Schizosaccharomyces pombe: one gene and its partners. The protein of the gene in region 1 interacts with the protein of each later gene in a pairwise test. Each region holds a gene or a part of one and is shown in the gene's direction. Other genes may lie near its edges.

Region 1 (4,416 bases):
TCACTATGGAAAATGAACTTTCTCTTCCTGCATTAACCCGTGATGAAGCCAAAGACTACAAAAAGGACAGCATGCAAAGTACTGTTTTAGAGATCTCAACCGCATTATCTGAAATTGACCGTGTACAAAATTACTTCAAAACTCGGGAGCATCGTAATTATTCTACTGTAAAGTCTACTCAAGCCCGCATCTTTTGGTTTAGTCTTGCTGAATCTATAATGGTTGTCGCTCTTTCTGCTCTTCAAGTCTTTATTGTAAAGACATTCTTTAAACGATCTGGTCGGAGAGGTGTATAAACTGACTAGTCGGTCACCTTTCTAACAATATTCATATCTGTCATGCCTATGTATGCCTTTAATCAGTCTTAACGAAGCTTATAGCTCTATTGTTTTATTCAGGATTATATTATTATGCCAGGATTTAAATAAGACAATCGACATGCGTCTTTATTAAATCAAGGATTACAATTTCTTGTAGTTGAAGTATTTTCCACTAAGCAATATTATTATTTCCTTCATTGCATTTTACAACTGTATTCGTGTTTCATACAAATTTAAGCAACCTATCAACGAAATAAAGAAAAAATGTGCTTAATGAGTATTTAAGTATAAAAAATTGTATACTATGAAAAAAAAAGAATGGGTAGGGTTAGCGGCCATAAATGAAGGATTAGACTGCTAAAAGGGCATAAAAATGAAATGAAAGCCGTTAAACTATTTGAAGTTCATAAGAAAGGTTTTAATATAAACCGAGCAGAACAACTGTACAACCAAAGTGAAAAGGGCAAAAAAGGGGAATAGAAATGAATAAAAAACGTAAACGGAGAAGACGCAAAAGCTCATGTAATAAAACTTTGAAGGTCGAAAAAATAATTTGCAGTCGTTTGACGTTATAATAAATGAAACTCAAGATCCTTTGTACTTGCAACTCACGTTTCAATAATGCGTAAAGTTAATAAAGTGATTCACTCATTTTCATTCATATTTACATCAGAAGCTGACCCAGAATCGCTATTATCTCTCTCTAAATCACTCTCTGTACCACTGCTTTCAAGTTCATCTCTTTTCAAGGGCTTAGCCATAGCAAAATAATGTTTCTTTCGAAGTTCGTTGAAGTCCGGTTTCTTTTTAGGAATGTTCTCTTCAGCTTCAGATAAAGCCTCCTCTTCCATTGCTTCGTCTTCTCCTAGAATTACTCCTTCATTATACATTTTATCAGCATGATCAGAATCTTTACCTAGGTTATTCACAGAAGGATGAGTACGTAAATGGTCGTCAGGATTATTAATTCTGGCATGAACTACTTCAACTTGGGGTTTTGTTTCCCTCGGAAATAGTTCTTTTTTACTTGGTAAATGATTATCTGTAGAGTACTTTGGTGTTGGAGCCTTCATACGGACGGTGTACCTATCACCCGAAGTAGTCGGTTCAGTACAAGGAACCGGGAAAGGTTCCTTTTTGACATAAAATTGTTTCTTGTCGCTCGAAAAGGAGACATTGTCATCTTTAGAATCTTTTGACACCCGGGTACTGGGAAGAGTGCCGAGTGTGTCACCCAAAGTTCCAGCAGTAAAGTCGTCCTTACTGTCAGTTTCATCCAAATTGATTTCAGGAACTTCATCATCTGGAAGCAAAAAGCGTTGAAAAGGAGTTTTCGGTTCGGTAATTTTCATTTTCGCTGACTTCTGCTGTTCAGCTTTTGAAAGATTTTCCTCATCCCAACGAAGACGACGAATTCTTTCTTCCGATGGAGTTCCTGTGCCCGAGCAATCACTCTCATTCATATCAATTGAAGGTGTTGATGAGACCATATTTTGTTGTTGGCCACTTTCCATTGAGTCAGTCTCAAGTGAGGGAGAACTCATACGACTATGTTTAAGAATTGATTTAACCTTCATCGTTATCTATTTCTGTGCGTTTTGGATACGAGAAAATGATATCCTTGATTTGAAGATGTAAAAGTTGGTGGAGGATCAGTTGACGCATGTACCTACTACAATCACATCTCATACGAGAACATTCCTTTACCAACAACAACCTGTATATTAAGTGATAGTATATCATAAAAATGACTGATGATTCTGTCCCTCCTCCATCGTATGAAGAGGTTTTAAGGCAAGAAGGTGTTATTGATTCACCAAACTCCAGCAATGGCCAAACATCTACTTCTGCTGGTCACCCTTCAAGTTCCTCTTCTACCTTGCCGAATTACGCAGCATCGAGTCTAAACTCAAGGCCTGTGTCAAGTTCTGGATCTGGCAATGCCTATTCTCAAGCGCCATACCCACCTGCGCGTCCTACTAGTCAAAGACCAAACTCTTGGCAACCTGGAAACGCTTCAACGATGTACGCGAGTCCTCCTCCATCTTCAAATTATAACACGGCGAAACCTCCTTATCAGACCAGCCAATTTTATGCTCGCCCTCAGTCATCTTACGCACCGCCTCCTTCTGGTCGACCAAGGATTTCATATCCATATCCACCTGGCTATATGTGTTACAAATGCCACAATACTGGCTACAAAGATAGCGGAAGGCCATGTGGTCGTTGCGCTCGTAGATTTGGACGATCGTACGATGTTCAATTCAGTCGACCACCTCCTGGTGCACTAGTTGTTTATCCTGGTGACCCTCGAATTCCTGGAAGGGTTTGCGGGAATTGCAAAGGCAGTGGTCAACTTGACTTTATATTCTTTACCGAAATTTGCCCGGTATGCAATGGTGTTGGAAAAATTCCCTACTAAATCAACTGCTGAGCAAAACTGATACTCCATTAAGTTCTTGTTCATATATGACATACTCTTGTAATTATTATTTATTTGAAATGAGCGACAAGACTCATTTCTCAATTTAAATATTTGAATAATTTTAAAACATTTTTTGAATGTTGCGATTTTATTCATTCTATAATTTACCAGTTTTACGACAATCCCTTTTAAGCATTCTTTCCCACCAACCCATATCATAGAGCCCCTTTTATATGCTTATTGCTCATATCGAAAATGTCTTCGTTTTTTGGGTTTGTTTATGAATTCGTGAATTTTTAATTTGGTCATAGTTTTGACCATTAAGTTTGTTTTCCAAAAATGCTCTTTCCTTATCTACTTCGTTTATGCTTTGGAAAATTTCTTCTAAATAATATCTACGGGACTTCCTAATTCTTAAAATTGCAAAATCCGTCCGTGTTCTAAGTATTTATTTATTTTACTATTGTCTAAGTATATCGGAATGATTCTCAGAGCTTTGCACTTCTTTTTCCCTAAATTTTCTATTAACTTTTATCTTTTTGTTATTGTATTAACTTACAAAAGTAATACCGGTTCATCATGCAAAATTCCATGTTTTAACAGTTGTCATAACCTCTATCTTTTCTGTATAAGAAAGGGTAACTGTAAACCACAGTGCTATTGTTGCCTAATTGTTTCTACGTTTTCTTGAGTATTAAATACTTATTAAGAAGAAGCAAAAAAAAAAAACTTGATGAAATTATTCTCCTTTAGAAACCCTTGCTCATTTTTTATCTAGTTCGTCCTGTTTATCTGCTATGCCACAAGTACAAATTTCGGGAAGCAATATGGAGTGCCTATTTTCATTATTGTTTTCCATTGATGTCATTAGAATATTATCGTTATTTGTACATCAGATTAATTGCTATCTTCTGTTCTCGCAATAAGTTAAAAAAGCTATCACTATTGTCTTGACGAAGTATTGCACCATAATAAATGACTATTAATGAATCAAGCAAACACACTACATATGGCAACTTTTAAGCTTAAAAAATTCGTTAAAGACCCATTTGGATAGGTAGCATTTTCGTACAATTGTATGTTCTCCAATTTTATTTTTTCATTTGCAAAAGCAAACCACTGTCAGTTTCTCTTTAGGGCTGGCACAAGGAAAGCATATGCTAACATATACATCGAGCAGATAGTGAGTTAGACTACTTCTTCATGTTTAGTGTTGCAAATGACTTAGTAATTCCTGATTTGAAAATCTGTAAACTAGAAACAATCTTAAATTGGATTGGAGGATATTTCAAACTGTCTTATCAAAATTAAAATGAAAGTCCTTCTTGTTTATATATATACCTTTTGTATAAAAAGGTCAGTTTCATTCATATTTTTAACATTAATGTTATTATAAATAGGTTTAAATAATCATCAAGTTAACAGTTGGTCGCATGATGTAGTCGGTTATCATGTCGATCTAATAAGTCGAATGTCGCCAGTTCGAACCTGGCTGTGACCATGTTTTTTAATTACGTTTTCTCTCTTGACAAAGGAGTTGGCAAAACGAAATTATAAGTACAATATTTATTGAAACAGTTGATATACATATTTTTATAGAAAATTAAAACTATAGAAATAAATTAAGTAACCGCTTGATCTATGGCTCTTAGTTGTCGTATGTTGCATTTG
Region 2 (4,479 bases), 780 kb from region 1:
CGAGTTTATGATGGGGACCACGTTAAAAGGCCCATTCCAATTACCAAAACCCCGTCCAGCAGCATAACAATCCGTTGAACAACACCAGTTTCTTTTAGATTTCAACGTTTAGCTCGTCGAATCACTATGTTGCATCAGTTACTCACTATTTATTTATTTGGATTTGGCGCTAATGGGAAGATAATTGACACGTTTAAACTAATATTTTAATGACTCGTGAATAAATAATATGTGCTACAATTCAACTTGAGTCGATTTTATTATAATAGGATTGATGCTCGTATAACAAATTTGTAAATTCAATAGTTTGGCTTTTAATGAGAACAAGTTGGTTAATATAAATCTTCAGCCTGGCAAATCATTTTTCCGAAATGTGACCTTGTTGTTCCAATCGCTAAAGATATTTTGGTCTCATTGTTGTTATAATGTTCGCATCATGGAAGAGTACTAGGTAGTTATAAAAAAAAAAAAAAAAAAAAAAAACTTATCAATCTAATTCGTATTATTGAAACACAGATGAATTAAGAAAAAAAAAAACTAATGCTAATTCACGCTCATAATTGGCAAACATTTGGTATTTACGATCTCATGTATTTTCTTAACTACCTATTGCTGTACCATAGTTGGTTTTCTTCATCGGGTAATGTTAATCTCATCAGTAAACAAATACTGTTATTATACGTTATTTGCTTTAAGAAGTGAAATGAGAAAAATGGGTGAACTAGGTATGAATAGTGAATCCCCTATTGTTACAGGAGGATATGGATTTCAATAAAAGGTAAGACCTTTGACAAAGCCGACTAACCTTGGGGTGATCTGATTGAGATTAAGTACAATCATCCTGATAAAGCAATAATCGCATCACGAACAACGAACAATTCCACCTTTAGGGGTGGATAATTTGGTTTTGTGAGACTTGCATTGGCATAGGTTTTGATGCTTTTTGTGCCTTTCTCATAAATCTGGAGTATAGTTTTCTTACCGAGCGAAGAAACATGATGCTTTTGATCCAGTGACAGTTTCCCAGAGATCGACAATAGGCCACGGATCTTCGCTATGGTTATCAAGCTACTAGGGTACTAGGGTAGGTGTAGCGTTCAAAGCTAACAGTTGTATTCAAGCTTAAGTTTATATTTTGTTAATATAAAAGAGTGACAAGTTTGCATATGAATGAAGATTTTCGCTAGTGCAGAGTGAATGAACGATTTGAAATAAAAAAAAAATGCAGGAAGCATCTTCGTATGCGTAAGCCATGTAAAGATCAACCAAATCGCTGTAACAATGGAGAGACATGTGGCTCCTGAACATGACAGATATTCGAAGCCACGTGGTTATTAACCAACTTGATCAACCTAAATGAGAATGCAAACTATATTTAGGTACATGCAAAGAATTTTTTTTATAAATTGTCTGAAAGAAAAAGAAAAAAAACAGAAAAAAACGAAAAGCAAGGAATGCTATTTATGAAACACATGAGGGCATAATCTAAGTATCAAAAAATTAACGAAACATCTGTGTTTTTTTTTTATTTTTAAAAGAACATTAGAGGTTAAACAAGTTAATCGTTCTTATACTGTTTTTGCTTGGCTCGTGATTTTCTCAATTCTTTGGATTTTTGTACTAATGCGTATCAAGCAAGCTACTTTACTAACGTCTAAATAAAAAGCTCTTAGTATTGTTGTTGCCTTTGGGCTTATCAAATTTGCCGCCTTATCACTCGCTAATGTCGAGGTTCCTACTTGAAAGTTGTTCCAACATTTTTTCTAAGTCCTTTATTCACCCAAATTTGCATTTGTAAATTGGGTGAGCTTGTCGCTTTTGCTAGTTTTGTTTTCAAGTCACTTCCTATAAACCTATTGATTGTGCAAGAGTTGCTAGCAAATTGCTAGACGACCATTGATTTTCACCTTCTTTTGTTTTTTTAGGGCTTTTTCTTTTGTTATTACGAACAGTTTGGCCGTCCGGTTATTCTGAAATAATTTATTGTATTCATATATATATAATTATAGAGTTAGTAACGCTACCTTTTTTAAAAAAAAGACTACAAAGAGTTTCTTGGCCTTTACGAAAAAGGTGCTTAGTTTCCTTGTTAAATTGGAGCTTAAATTTTGTATAAATCGGCTTCCAATTTCATGTTCTGTGCTTGCGTTTTTTCTTTGCGCGCTTTTCTCAAGCAGCGTAGCGTTTTCAAATCGGGCTTTCTTTACTTTTGATTTGTTTAGTTCCTATTATCTTGTTATTCTTTTTTTTTCTATCTATTGTTTCCCTTGCAGTTATGAACCCGTATGTTTCTTATCCCGAAATTCATATGAAACGGAATAGAACGGGTAGTATTAATTCAAATCCGCTATATATTCCCAACCCAAACGTCGAGCCTACGCCCAAGCCCACAAAAAGAAGAACGAAAACTGGATGTTTAACATGTCGCCGTCGCAGGATCAAGTGCGACGAAACCAAACCTTTTTGTTTGAACTGCACAAAGACAAATAGGGAATGTGAAGGTTATCCAAATTCAGCTGCTCAAATGCAAGCCATGGGGAGTGTATCGCCTCCTGAGCTAAGCGTTCATTCTGCTCAACAGCCATTGATACCTACTTCAATTGCTTCAAGTAGCGCTCAAACCGGAGACACTTTTTCCGGCTCTTCACAATCCAATTTTAATACAAATGATCTTAATCAGATGACCTCCTCCTCCAATTTATCCACCGTTACCCCAATCAAACAGGATCATCAAAAACCTATGAATTTACAAGGATTTCCAAGTGCTTATCAACAGCATCAATACCTTCAATCCAATCATAACGTTCCTACAAATAATTCTTCTAGCGCTACTTCGTCTACAAAACCCTCTGTACAATCGGTGGGTCAGGCCTCTTACCCTTTTCTTTCATCAGTTTCCAATTTCCCTTCAAACTTTAATTCCGAACTGTTTCCGTTTTATTTTCACGATGTCGTACCTTCTATTTGTGCATTTGAATTTGATAATAACATAGCCTTGCATTTTTGGTCAGTCACTGTTCCCCAGTTTGCTCAATCGATGCCTTGTATTGCTAATTCTTTAATGGCTTTTGCGTCTATTAAGAAGCTCGACGTTTTTGGTGCTTACAGTCATTTGACCAGAGCTCTTCGCTGTCCAATGCCTGGTCCCAATTCTTTTGAATACCTGTTGGTTTCTGCATTTTTGACTCTCACTCAGCTCAATCTCCCAGCCTATGATCTCAATTTTTGTAATAATTTTATTAGAAAGTTAAGTTGGTCTTCGTCTACCAAATCAAATTATGTCAGCTTATTGATTGCTATGGTCGTTCGTGAACTAGTTTTTGCAATTCTTCCTCGTGGGTGTATCTGGGGGTTTAATGGAAAGCCTTTATCGGAAGTTTCTGTTTCTCGAAGTCATGCACCTGTTTCGGATTCTTTGTTTACTATTGGATTGGACATTCTCTCTCAACCAACCTTGTCTGATGATTTGCATCGAGAACGAATGGTTGCTTGGCGAGATGAATATCATGTGCACTTGTATTCAGCATCAAGAAGTCCTCTTACTAAAGTTATAGATTGTGTAGGACATGCCGTTACCAAAAACAATAATGACGTTCTTTCTGGCTTACAGCAATTAATGCAAGAAGAATGCACAGATATTGCAGTATTACGCACTTCCTATTTATGCGTATTATCTCTACAAAATGTTTTTGCATCAAACTCTAAAGAATTTAAACTTCGGGCACAAATCGAATCTCATTTCGGAAGATTGATGCTAGAACATTTTATGGATTGCAATGTCTTAAATCGACCAGTACTTTAATTTTAAAATCATTTTGATGCTTTTCAATAAATATTGATATAGAACTGTATAATAGCTAGACAAAATCACGCATCAAACATATAATCTCTCGTTAATAAGATAAACACTTCATTTGTAAGATTCGCATAGTGTAAAAAGAGCCGAAATTTACGAATTACGGTACGACAGTCATACAAATGGTTTAGTCTTTGTTCTAAACATACTATATATTACCTTAGGAAGAAGACTATTGAGCGGTGGCTGTATGGAGATGTGGTTCAGAAGGGTACACAGGTGCGGGACTTCCCATTCTAGTTGCGAGGGAAGACTGTTCTTTTAAGCTGCTCAATTGCTTAAAGCGGAATTTCTCGTAATGATAGTATGAGGTCGTTTCAATTAAATCTTGAAGATGAGTTCGCATCAAAAAGTTACGAAGAAAAACAAACTCGCAGTGGTTTTCATCATCCACATTGACAACCCCCCATCTGTTTTGACGACCACGAATAGGCCTTCCATCTACGATAATGGCTTTTTCGGAACCGACCACGGCAAAAGGAATAAGATTTCGGACGGCAGCATTTAGATTAATTTCCTCCTCATCGGCGTCATCAGAATCATAAGGATACAAATTGATGTCGTGTTTAACAAATTCTTCACGGATTTGCTGCTTAAATGCTGCTCTTTCTTCAAGAGTCAAT
Region 3 (5,469 bases), 1.7 Mb from region 1:
GGAAAATTGGGAGGCCTATCGTGCGGCTAACTACGCTTTTGCCGAGGCCATTGTCAAAAATCTGCAGGATGGTGATTTAATTTGGGTGCAGGATTATCATTTGATGGTTCTTCCTCAAATGTTGCGTGAATTAATCGGTGATAAGTTTAAGGATATCAAAATTGGCTTCTTCTTGCACACTCCTTTCCCAAGTAGCGAAATCTATCGTGTTTTACCCGTTAGAAACGAAATCCTTGAAGGTGTACTCAACTGTGATCTCGTTGGCTTCCATACCTACGACTATGCCCGTCACTTTTTGTCTGCATGCTCTCGTATCCTTAATCTTAGCACACTACCTAACGGTGTGGAATACAATGGTCAAATGGTCAGCGTCGGCACCTTCCCCATCGGTATTGATCCCGAAAAGTTCTCTGATGCTCTGAAGTCTGACGTGGTAAAGGATCGCATTGCAAGCATCGAACGTAGACTACAAGGCGTTAAGGTGATTGTGGGTGTCGATCGTTTGGACTACATTAAGGGTGTTCCCCAAAAATTCCATGCCTTTGAAGTGTTCTTAGAACAATACCCTGAATGGGTTGGAAAGGTCGTGTTGGTTCAAGTTGCCGTTCCTTCTCGTCAAGATGTCGAAGAGTATCAGAATCTTAGAGCCGTTGTCAATGAGCTTGTTGGCCGTATTAACGGTCGTTTTGGTACTGTTGAATATACACCTATTCATTTCTTACATAAAAGTGTTCGCTTTGAAGAGCTGGTTGCTCTGTATAACGTTTCAGACGTTTGTTTAATTACCTCAACTCGTGATGGTATGAATCTTGTTTCATACGAGTACATTTGCACTCAACAAGAGAGACATGGTGCCCTAATTCTTAGTGAATTTGCCGGTGCTGCCCAGTCACTCAATGGTAGTATTGTAATTAATCCATGGAACACGGAGGAATTAGCAAACTCCATTCATGATGCCCTCACTATGCCGGAGAAACAACGTGAGGCTAATGAGAATAAATTATTCCGATATGTTAATAAGTATACCAGTCAATTCTGGGGTCAAAGCTTTGTCGGTGAGTTGCAACGCATTCAACACTACAGCCACCCTCACCCCAGAAGAACGAATCCGATTTTACGAACCAAGTCTGCTCAAGTGCTGTCGATGAATTCTAGCTCGTAAGAGTGCATTAGCAACACTATTGGTTTGTTTTCCCATTAATCAAGTTGTTGCACTTTTACACTTTTACTTCTATAATTTCATTCTCAAAGCAATTAAATCATTTGGTCATATATATTCGATGAGTTAGCAGTTTACGATACAAAGGATGTTGTTTATACTGGCACTTTTTTTATTGAGATGAATTCACAATACATGATATAATGCAACGTTCTTTAATGATTTTTTTATATGCAGAAATTCCAATCAGCTTATGGTGGTTTGAGTATTTGCTGATGATGGAAATTTGTTAGACAAGTATTCGACAATTTTTTTATGAAGTGTTGTTCTTTGTAATTTCCTTTGGTTTTATATTGAACATGATGGCAAAAAGAATAAATGTTTTGTTATTTAACCTTAAAAATCCTGTAACATTCAATTAATATTATTTTTATACATTTTTTTTGGGATACACGTGGAAGATTGTGACTAATATATCTTATAAGTAAGGATGAGAATATGCTGGACTGGTGAACGGAGTTGGACCAAGCAAATATTAAGATTAATAGTGAAATGGTTTTAAAGGTATTATTTATTGTAAGTAAACTAATTTTCAATTCTCATATAGCAAAAAGAGTTTTTTTGTGTAAATGATGAAGATGCGTCATTTACCCATCATTATTCTTCGCTACACCAAAACCAACCGTAAAGATTTAAAACTCAACAAGCACAGTGCGTATATCATAGAACTTCTATTCACGCATATAATTAGTGCTGTTGCTAGTTTTGTATTTATTTTTGTAGACTTTATCAAGTTTTCCGACAAAATCGTGGTTTTAGTGAGAAATTTTATCTTTAACTTTGTATCACTATATCTACGATTTGTATTTGCATGCCGCATTCTGCTTGTACGAAAACAATATTTAATAAGGTAATAGGATATAAAAGGAGAAGTGTAGTTTGTGCACTTCAGCCAATATAGAAAGAGAATAACGTTTCCAATCGAGCCGATTTAACCTCTTTCCATTGAAAGGTAATTGTTTTTAATCAGTTGTAGACGTTAAAGAATGCACAAAAATGAGCCTTGAAGACTGCTATAACGTCACACAGTCATATGCCGCCGTTGCAATTCATAAAGAGCAGACTGCTGACTATGTGGAGGCTATCGCTTTATTTCAAAAGGCCAAGCGGAACATTCTCATGAATCCAGAGTTTAAGTATGCGAGGGAACGCTTACACGTGATGGATTATGAAGATAGACATTATGTGGAAACATTACTCTGCATGTTGGAGCAGTTGACCATTCGAATTGAGTTCCTTACCAAAGAGATTGCGCAACAAGAAGCTGCTTATAAGGATATTCAAAATACACAAAAGTCACTTGTAACACAATCTTCTACTGGTAGCGCTAATGTTGCTTATATAAGTGGAAATGGTCCTGGCGATCGCTCATTTATCGATGATGGTAACTATAGTGCGTCTTCTTTTGAGCGTCAAAATAGAACAGCTCCTTTACAATCTAAAGTGACAACGGCATCCTTAAAACCTAATATTCCGCGAACATCTATGTCCTCTTCACCTACAGCTTCGCGGACTTCGTTGCGTAAAGGCGCTGGTGAACTAGAAACACATAGCGCTGTTAAATCTGCTAAAAAGGCCAGTGTCAAGAGTAAATCAGTGCTTCCTCCAAGTAAATCGCTTGCTAGGACTGGACTTCCAGCTGAAGTCTCTACCCAGAACAATGCCAATCGAGCAGCTCTATTGGCTTGGGGATCTTTGAATTCATCTAAGCCTAAGCATGCTCTCCCGCCATCATACATATCATCGGAAGCAGCGCAGGCATCTCGATCATCGTTTCAGGTTGAGCGTCATCGTCCAACTCCCGATAACTCCGCCGTTATTGAAGCTGCCCGCCGAACTTACTCTTCTATTTCCTCCTCTTCCTCACCCTTCAAAAAGAAAACGCAATCCCATCTCCCTAATCGTACCACTGAAGTACCTTCTATATCAAAACAGTTATCAAAGTCATCTACCTCAATCGCAACCGTCGCGCCATCTCTCGCTTCTGTTTCGTCAGTTACAAAATCGCCATCTCCCACTCCTCAGTCAGCTCCACGAGCTCAATCTGCTTCCACTGAAACTGCGCAAGATCTGGATTTCCTTACACCGCCACGTTTATCTGTGAACAACCCTTTTCTGAGTGATCTCTATCCAGCTTCCGAACAGGGGCTTTCTTCCTGTGAAGAGAAAGATTCGCCGGTTGATGGCGATGAATTTTTCAACCACACAAACGAAGAAGAGATTATTGAAAAGCAGTTTCAATCCACATCTATCTCTGCAATGACTTCTGAAAAGCAAGAACAAATTCTGCGTGAATGTCCAGACATCGACGAAGAGCTTGGTAAGAGTATACTTCGAGAAATCGTGGTTTCGGGTGATGAAGTTCATTGGGATGATATTTCTGGGTTAGAATTTGCTAAGCACTCTTTAAAAGAGGCAGTGGTGTATCCGTTCTTGCGTCCAGATTTGTTCCAAGGCTTGCGGGAACCAGCTAGGGGGATGCTTCTTTTTGGGCCTCCAGGAACTGGTAAGACAATGCTTGCGCGAGCTGTTGCTACTGAATCCCGTTCTGTCTTTTTTTCTATTTCAGCTTCTAGTTTAACATCCAAGTTTTTGGGTGAATCCGAAAAACTTGTTCGTGCTCTCTTCACTTTAGCAAAAAAGCTGTCTCCAAGCATCATTTTTGTTGACGAAATTGATTCACTGCTTTCTGCTAGAAGCAGTGATGGAAATGAGCATGAAACATCGAGAAGAATAAAAACAGAATTCTTAATTCAGTGGTCTTCGCTTGCAAGAGCAGCTGCATCTCGACAAACCGCCGATCACCCAAGAGTTCTAGTGCTTGCCGCTACCAATTTGCCTTGGTGTATCGACGATGCTGCTCGTAGACGATTTGTCCGTCGTACCTACATTCCCCTCCCTGATGAGACCACTCGTCGCTTACATTTAAATAACCTTTTAAAATATCAGAAGCATTCTCTTTCCTTAGAGGATATTGAGGCTATTGTGAAAGCAACCGAATATTACTCTGGCTCTGATTTGACAGCATTGGCAAAAGACGCAGCTATGGGGCCTTTGCGAAGTTTAGGTGAGTCTTTGCTATTCACGAAAATGGAGTCGATTAGGCCGATTAATTTAGATGACTTTAAAACTAGTATCAAGGTAATCCGGCCTAGTGTGAACTTGCAAGGGCTGGAACGATATTCAGAATGGGACAAAGAGTTCGGATCCCAAGGGCATTGAGTCTGTCTTCTTATTTAAAATTCCTAGCCTGATACCGATTTTTTTGGTAATCACGTTGAAAATTTATTTATTGTCTTTTAATACATGGCTTGTGCAAACTTATGATTATAACTAATAAGGACAACTTTTGCCTCAAGGAATTATTCATGATGATAATAATGGTGCTGTACCAAAAGCCTTTTTGTTTACTCCTAATATATTCGTTTGTCTCTTTTTTGTTGATACAATTTATGCACAGTCTTTGAATTTTTCAAACACTTAATATTAACTGAGGTTATCTCTAACCCTAGTTATTGTTTGAGTTTCCATTTTTATTACGACTCATTTACAAACAACTAAAACTCCTTACTATGATTAATTAGTCAGTACATGTCAATATTTATAATTTAAATGTTTACAGTTTTTTTATTCTATTGTTCTTTTAGCGAATCTAAGAGTTTACAGTATATCACTTACGAAATTATATTGCAGTTACACTATAGAAGTCAAGTTGTTGGGATGCTTTAATTATGTGAAGATGCACACTCAGCTTATGCTCTTGCGATGCCTAAACCTATAGAATGGGTATGATAACTATTGATTGATTTAGCTGATCAAATAGAATGAATTTGATTCAGGAATGGGTAGTAAGTTGGATGTGTCAAGTTCCTTGAATTCATCGTCTTCCAATATGGATCGTGACAGATCGGAGTCTCCGAAGCGACATGTCAACGGAAGCAATTCATTGAAACGTGGCTTGCATTTTGATGGAGAGCACACTGAAAGAGACCCTCACTTGGGAAATGGCCAAAAGTACACTCAACAAGAGCGTCGCGTGTATGTTGGTAATTTGTCATATCAAGTTCGTTGGTTTGAGTTGAAAGAGTTTATGGGACAAGTTGGCAATGTTCTTAATTGTGAGATTTTGAATCTTCCGAATGGATTATCGAAGGTAAGTTTGCTTCATAGAGGGTGGGTTTCATGCGACTAGTAAATCATTGTCTATTTAAATTGTAACGTTGAATCGATCCAATTGAACGTTACTTTTA
Region 4 (4,400 bases), on another chromosome or scaffold:
TCCGTTTACGGACTTCCTCACTATGTTATTTGGCATATTTATGAACCTAGCGATGATGATAAGCGTATTATGGCTGAAATGGAACGCGAAAGGAAAGAAAGGGAGGCCGCAGAGCTTGAAGAGGCTAAAAAGTATCAGACTGCTGGATTCACGCAACCAGATGATCAGGGTGCTGAAGAAGGTCCTTTGGCACATGCAGACGATCATGTTGATTAAGCTCCCTTACTTTGTAAAAAAATTCCTGAGCACAGTAACCATGTTTTACAGTCCTCTCTCTTCTTTATTTAAATCGCTGCCCCTTTTCACTTACATATATAATGATGGTCGCGTTTTTTCTTTATTCTTATTTCTTTTTATCTCTTTTAAACATATGATCAAGACATAATTAGTAATTTTAGTGTTATTCTGCCCTCTTTTTTTTAACTTGGTATACGAACTCATAATGGGATGCACGTTAGGATGATGCTTGTTTCTTCAGTTGGTGCGCTTTAATGCTATGCCAGGAAAAAAAGGAAGCTCTTGGTCTTATTCTCTCTTTAAGGACTTTTTCCTCCAAAAAGCCTTGTACATACAAACATCTTTAGTTTGTTGTTTATTCGACAGTGGGTAGGGCAATCATTCTCTTTCTTTACATGCACCCATTAGGAATATATGCCATAGAACGCTGTAAATATACAAAGCAGTTACCATGGTTAAACGGCATTCATATTAATTCTATTACGATACTGATACATATCACTGTCGAAAAGCAAATTTCAGTAGAATTTGTTGATTAGTTTACTTAATGGTAATCTGCTCACGTAGCATGAAAAGAAATTTCAATTTATAAATTGTTGAAAACTTCATATTAAATCATTTCAATCGCATAGGTCATGTACAAATACTAAAAGAGGTTAAGTCGTCGAAGCTTTAATGTACAATAAAACGCGTAACTTCGTCTTTTATCCAAGAACCCTTGGTTTTTTATTCTTCTTTTTTAAGTTATTTTTCTTCGTTTTGTGAAGGAAATCCTGCCAATTTCCCACACGATTATCTCTTGTCTCTTCCCAAACCTTTTCTGATTCTACACGACGCTTTCGTTCTCTTGCAATTTCATCTTGACGCGCTTGTTCTCTTTGCTGGTTTGCTAAATCGAGCTGCCGTGCTCGTCTTCTTGCAACTTCATCTGCAATAAGGATTTCACGCCAACGTACTTTTAAATCAAATAAAAACTGGTCTGAATGGACGTCTTCCGAATTTGGAGACAATTTTTTTTCTTTCAATAGTTGGTTCCTTGCAGCTGTGTAAGCCGAATCAAGAGATTCCCGAATCTTATCATTAACTAGATCAGACTCCGCCTTTTTTAAAATGTCGAATGCGTCTGCAGCTTTTGGGTTATCGCGATTTTTGTCTGGATGAATCATTAATGATTTTTTCCTGTACAAATTTCGAATATCATCAACACTCATTCCTGGCAAAATATCAAGAACATCATATGCATTTAATTTAAAGGAAGACAATATTCTGTCAATCTCACGTCCCTAAGTAAAGGTTAGAATTCATCGACTTTGTTTGATTAGCAAGTAATATACGCATAGGCAAAGTTATTCTATTGTTTCATTGTAGTATATAATCTGTATAAACAAAAAAAAAAAAAATTCTGAGAATAAGATAAATCGAATCAACCTACTAAGGTACATCTAGAAATCTTCACATGCAATGTCAATAAAATGCTAAAACTTACTCTGTTTAAACTTCCTTCAACTCGATCTAAAAACTTTGCAACGTCTGCCATTTCTGACCGAGCCCCAAAATTGAAATTACAAGAGTGCAAATTTCAAAAATCCTTTATAGATAAATTTGGTGGTGAGTTAGGTTTTGCATTCGCCAACTTCTGGTATCGAGGGTAAGAATCTGTAAGTACGTTTAGAAACAGGTTCTTTACATTTGTTCTTTAAATGTAATAATGTATATGAATATACATATTCATTTACATATCGATGTGTCTAAGGTTTAAAAATTTACCGTCCGAGAGTGCTCTTACGAATCCCTAATTAAGTTTGAATATTAGTGCATATTAACTATTAATGGGTTTGCAATTTAAAATAAGATGAATGAACTAGATGCTACAGATCCATCTGATTGGAACCAAACGAAAATACCATCGTTGAAGGGCTTGGATTCTTCTTTACGATGTCTGATTTGTCATGAATACTTTCGCGCCCCCTTAATTACTTCTTGCTCACACACCTTTTGTTCGTTTTGTATACGCGATTATCTGAGAGAACATCCTATGTGCCCTGCTTGTCGTGCTCCTGAGCAAGAAAGCCGCTTAAGAAAAAACACTATATTAGAAGAGATTTTAGAGTCCTTTAAAGTGATCAGGCCAACATTGTTTGAATTCTTAAAAGTAGAAAATGTGCCAAAGCCAGTACTTCAAGCTCCTGAAACAGTTATCGCACAGGATTCAGCTTCTGGCGATGAGGAATGGGAAGACGACTTGGCTTCAAATTCATCTCCTGCTTCTATAGCTAAAAAGACATCTAGGGATTCTAAAAAGAGGAAACGTGAGGATTTAGTTCACTGCCCTGCATGTTCAAATTTAGTTCCTCATAATCAAATTAATCAACACTTGGATTCTTGTCTTAACTCACCTTCTTCCCCGTCTTCCTCTTCCTCACCTTATAAAAATAAGGATAATAGTAAATCTAATTCATTACTATCATTCAAAACAGATGATGATTCTATCACGAAGCGCAGGTTAAGGTCGTTTAACTCTGCAGATGAACTACCCTTGAAAGATCGAGTGCGGCTTCCCAAACTAACTTATGCACTCCTTTCCGAATCAAAAATTCGTTCCAAATTATCAGAGATGGGGCTTCCAACCGATGGACATAAACAACTATTACAACGTCGACATGCTAAATGGGTTACCCTTTACAATTCTAATTTAGACCAGAAACAACCTGTTTCAAAAAGAAATTTAATTCGCCAACTTATAGATTGGGAGCGCGTTCAGTCGAAATCAATTGGAGTAGAAAAAGAAAAACTAGGAGGGGGCGATTGGGAGAAGGCATACGCTGAGGATTTTGCTGATCTCATCAACCGTGCAAAACAATCAACAACTAACAAAAATGATTCATTGAGGAACACTGCTGTTGAATCTTCCACCGAACCTTCTACATCTAACGGTTTTCCTGCCACTTCAGTTAGTCCCCCTCTTACTATTGACCTTACCAATTCACAAACGGGATCCGATGGACCACAGTCCTAATCATTAATTTTCGTTGGATTCGTTTTAACGAATTTTCATTATCAGATTAACTTATTAGTTTATTTCGCTATATATAATCACATTAATAACCTGTAGAAATTTTGATATTTGGTAAATAAAATAATATACATTTTGAAAGTGGGGCATTTCTAGCTAGAAGGAATATTAGAAGCAGGTTGTTTGGAGACTTCGACTTCGTCAAGTGCTGCAACACACTCCTTCAAATCCTTCCAATCGATTTTTCCATAAAACAATTTTGCTTCCTCTACAAAAGGCTTGGCACGAAAGGGAATGCGACATCTCAACCAAGCATCGGCAGTTAATACACACCAAAGTGCGGCTTTACGAGTTCGCTTATTAGAGAACGGGTCCGTAGATTCAGTTTTTAAATAAGAAAGGGATTTAAAGAGAGTGTGAGTTTGTTGAAAGATCATTGCTCTTCCTACAGGACCCAATCTCTTAGAATAAAGCAAACCTGCATTCCAGTTAGCAGCATCGTCCACTTTTGGAGCTGGTAAACAACTAAGGAATTGTCCCAGGAGAAGGAAACAGCGCGCAGCATGATAATAGGAATTGAAGGATTTATTCAAATAATTTAACATAGCAGATTGCATATACTCGTTTATTCTCAATGTGTTCGTCAAACTCATATATGGCATTTTTAGGTGTAAAATATGTTCAGTTATTACAATCATTTCTAGAGAGGCAGCAGAATATAAGCAAGCACCATCATTTTCATACTGTCTTGATGCAATTTCATAAATCTGATTTGCATGAGAATAATCTCGTAGCATGAAGGAATAGTCGGCAAGTTTCCTAAGATATGCCTCTGGTGAAAATGGACGATAGGCATTAGATGAGGGGAAATAGTTAGAATTGGTAGAAGCATTCGAACTAGATAAATATTTTCTGGATGCAAATAACAGCTTACCGGTAATCCCTCGTCTCGGAGAAGCATATTGATCATCCCATGCTCTTACGCATTTGTCCAAATAAGAGACAATTCCGTTGAACGCAATGTGCGAAGATAACCGTCGCAGTGATTCATTGTCGGATTCAAAGAGTAATCGTATTTCAGTATCCGTATTAGATAAAAGGTGTAAACGTTCTTCAGCAGACAACCAAGAGGATGTTGGAAAAGGAACGG

What was found.
Region 2: the proteins of hua1 (region 1) and moc3 interact in a two-hybrid assay, tested with the Schizosaccharomyces pombe proteins (2 studies listed by BioGRID).
Region 3: the proteins of hua1 (region 1) and spg4 interact in a two-hybrid assay, tested with the Schizosaccharomyces pombe proteins (2 studies listed by BioGRID).
Region 4: the proteins of hua1 (region 1) and rhp18 interact in a two-hybrid assay, tested with the Schizosaccharomyces pombe proteins (2 studies listed by BioGRID).

Annotation. Positions count from the first base shown.
Region 1 is NC_003424.3:1,768,124-1,772,539, forward strand, and holds hua1 (protein hua1), read left to right. Parts: upstream 1-2,025; 5' UTR 2,026-2,067; coding exon 2,068-2,742; 3' UTR 2,743-3,900; downstream 3,901-4,416. Other genes in the region: erp2 (COPII-coated vesicle-associated protein Erp2/3/4), read left to right, coding at 1-296; protein phosphatase regulatory subunit Glc8, read right to left, coding at 965-1,897.
Region 2 is NC_003424.3:991,075-995,553, reverse strand, and holds moc3 (DNA-binding transcription factor Moc3), read left to right. Parts: upstream 1-1,765; 5' UTR 1,766-2,275; coding exon 2,276-3,802; 3' UTR 3,803-3,922; downstream 3,923-4,479. Other genes in the region: ubiquitin ligase Slp1, read left to right, coding at 1-78; mitotic and meiotic (sporulation) septin Spn2, read right to left, coding at 4,029-4,479. UniProt on the Schizosaccharomyces pombe protein: Induces sexual development and ascus formation. Also involved in calcium homeostasis.
Region 3 is NC_003424.3:3,479,694-3,485,162, forward strand, and holds spg4 (AAA domain-containing protein), read left to right. Parts: upstream 1-1,863; 5' UTR 1,864-2,215; coding exon 2,216-4,441; 3' UTR 4,442-4,912; downstream 4,913-5,469. Other genes in the region: tps1 (alpha,alpha-trehalose-phosphate synthase (UDP-forming)), read left to right, coding at 1-1,162; hrb1 (RNA-binding and mRNA export factor), read left to right, coding at 4,985-5,005, 5,043-5,372.
Region 4 is NC_003423.3:1,068,169-1,072,568, forward strand, and holds rhp18 (postreplication repair E3 ubiquitin-protein ligase), read left to right. Parts: upstream 1-1,859; 5' UTR 1,860-2,089; coding exon 2,090-3,253; 3' UTR 3,254-3,402; downstream 3,403-4,400. Other genes in the region: mannan polymerase I complex subunit Anp1, read left to right, coding at 1-216; DNAJ protein Spf31, read right to left, coding at 942-1,520, 1,724-1,774; TRAPP III complex subunit Trs8502, read right to left, coding at 3,403-4,400. UniProt on the Schizosaccharomyces pombe protein: E3 RING-finger protein, member of the UBC2/RAD6 epistasis group. Associates to the E2 ubiquitin conjugating enzyme ubc2/rad6 to form the ubc2-rad18 ubiquitin ligase complex involved in postreplicative repair (PRR) of damaged DNA.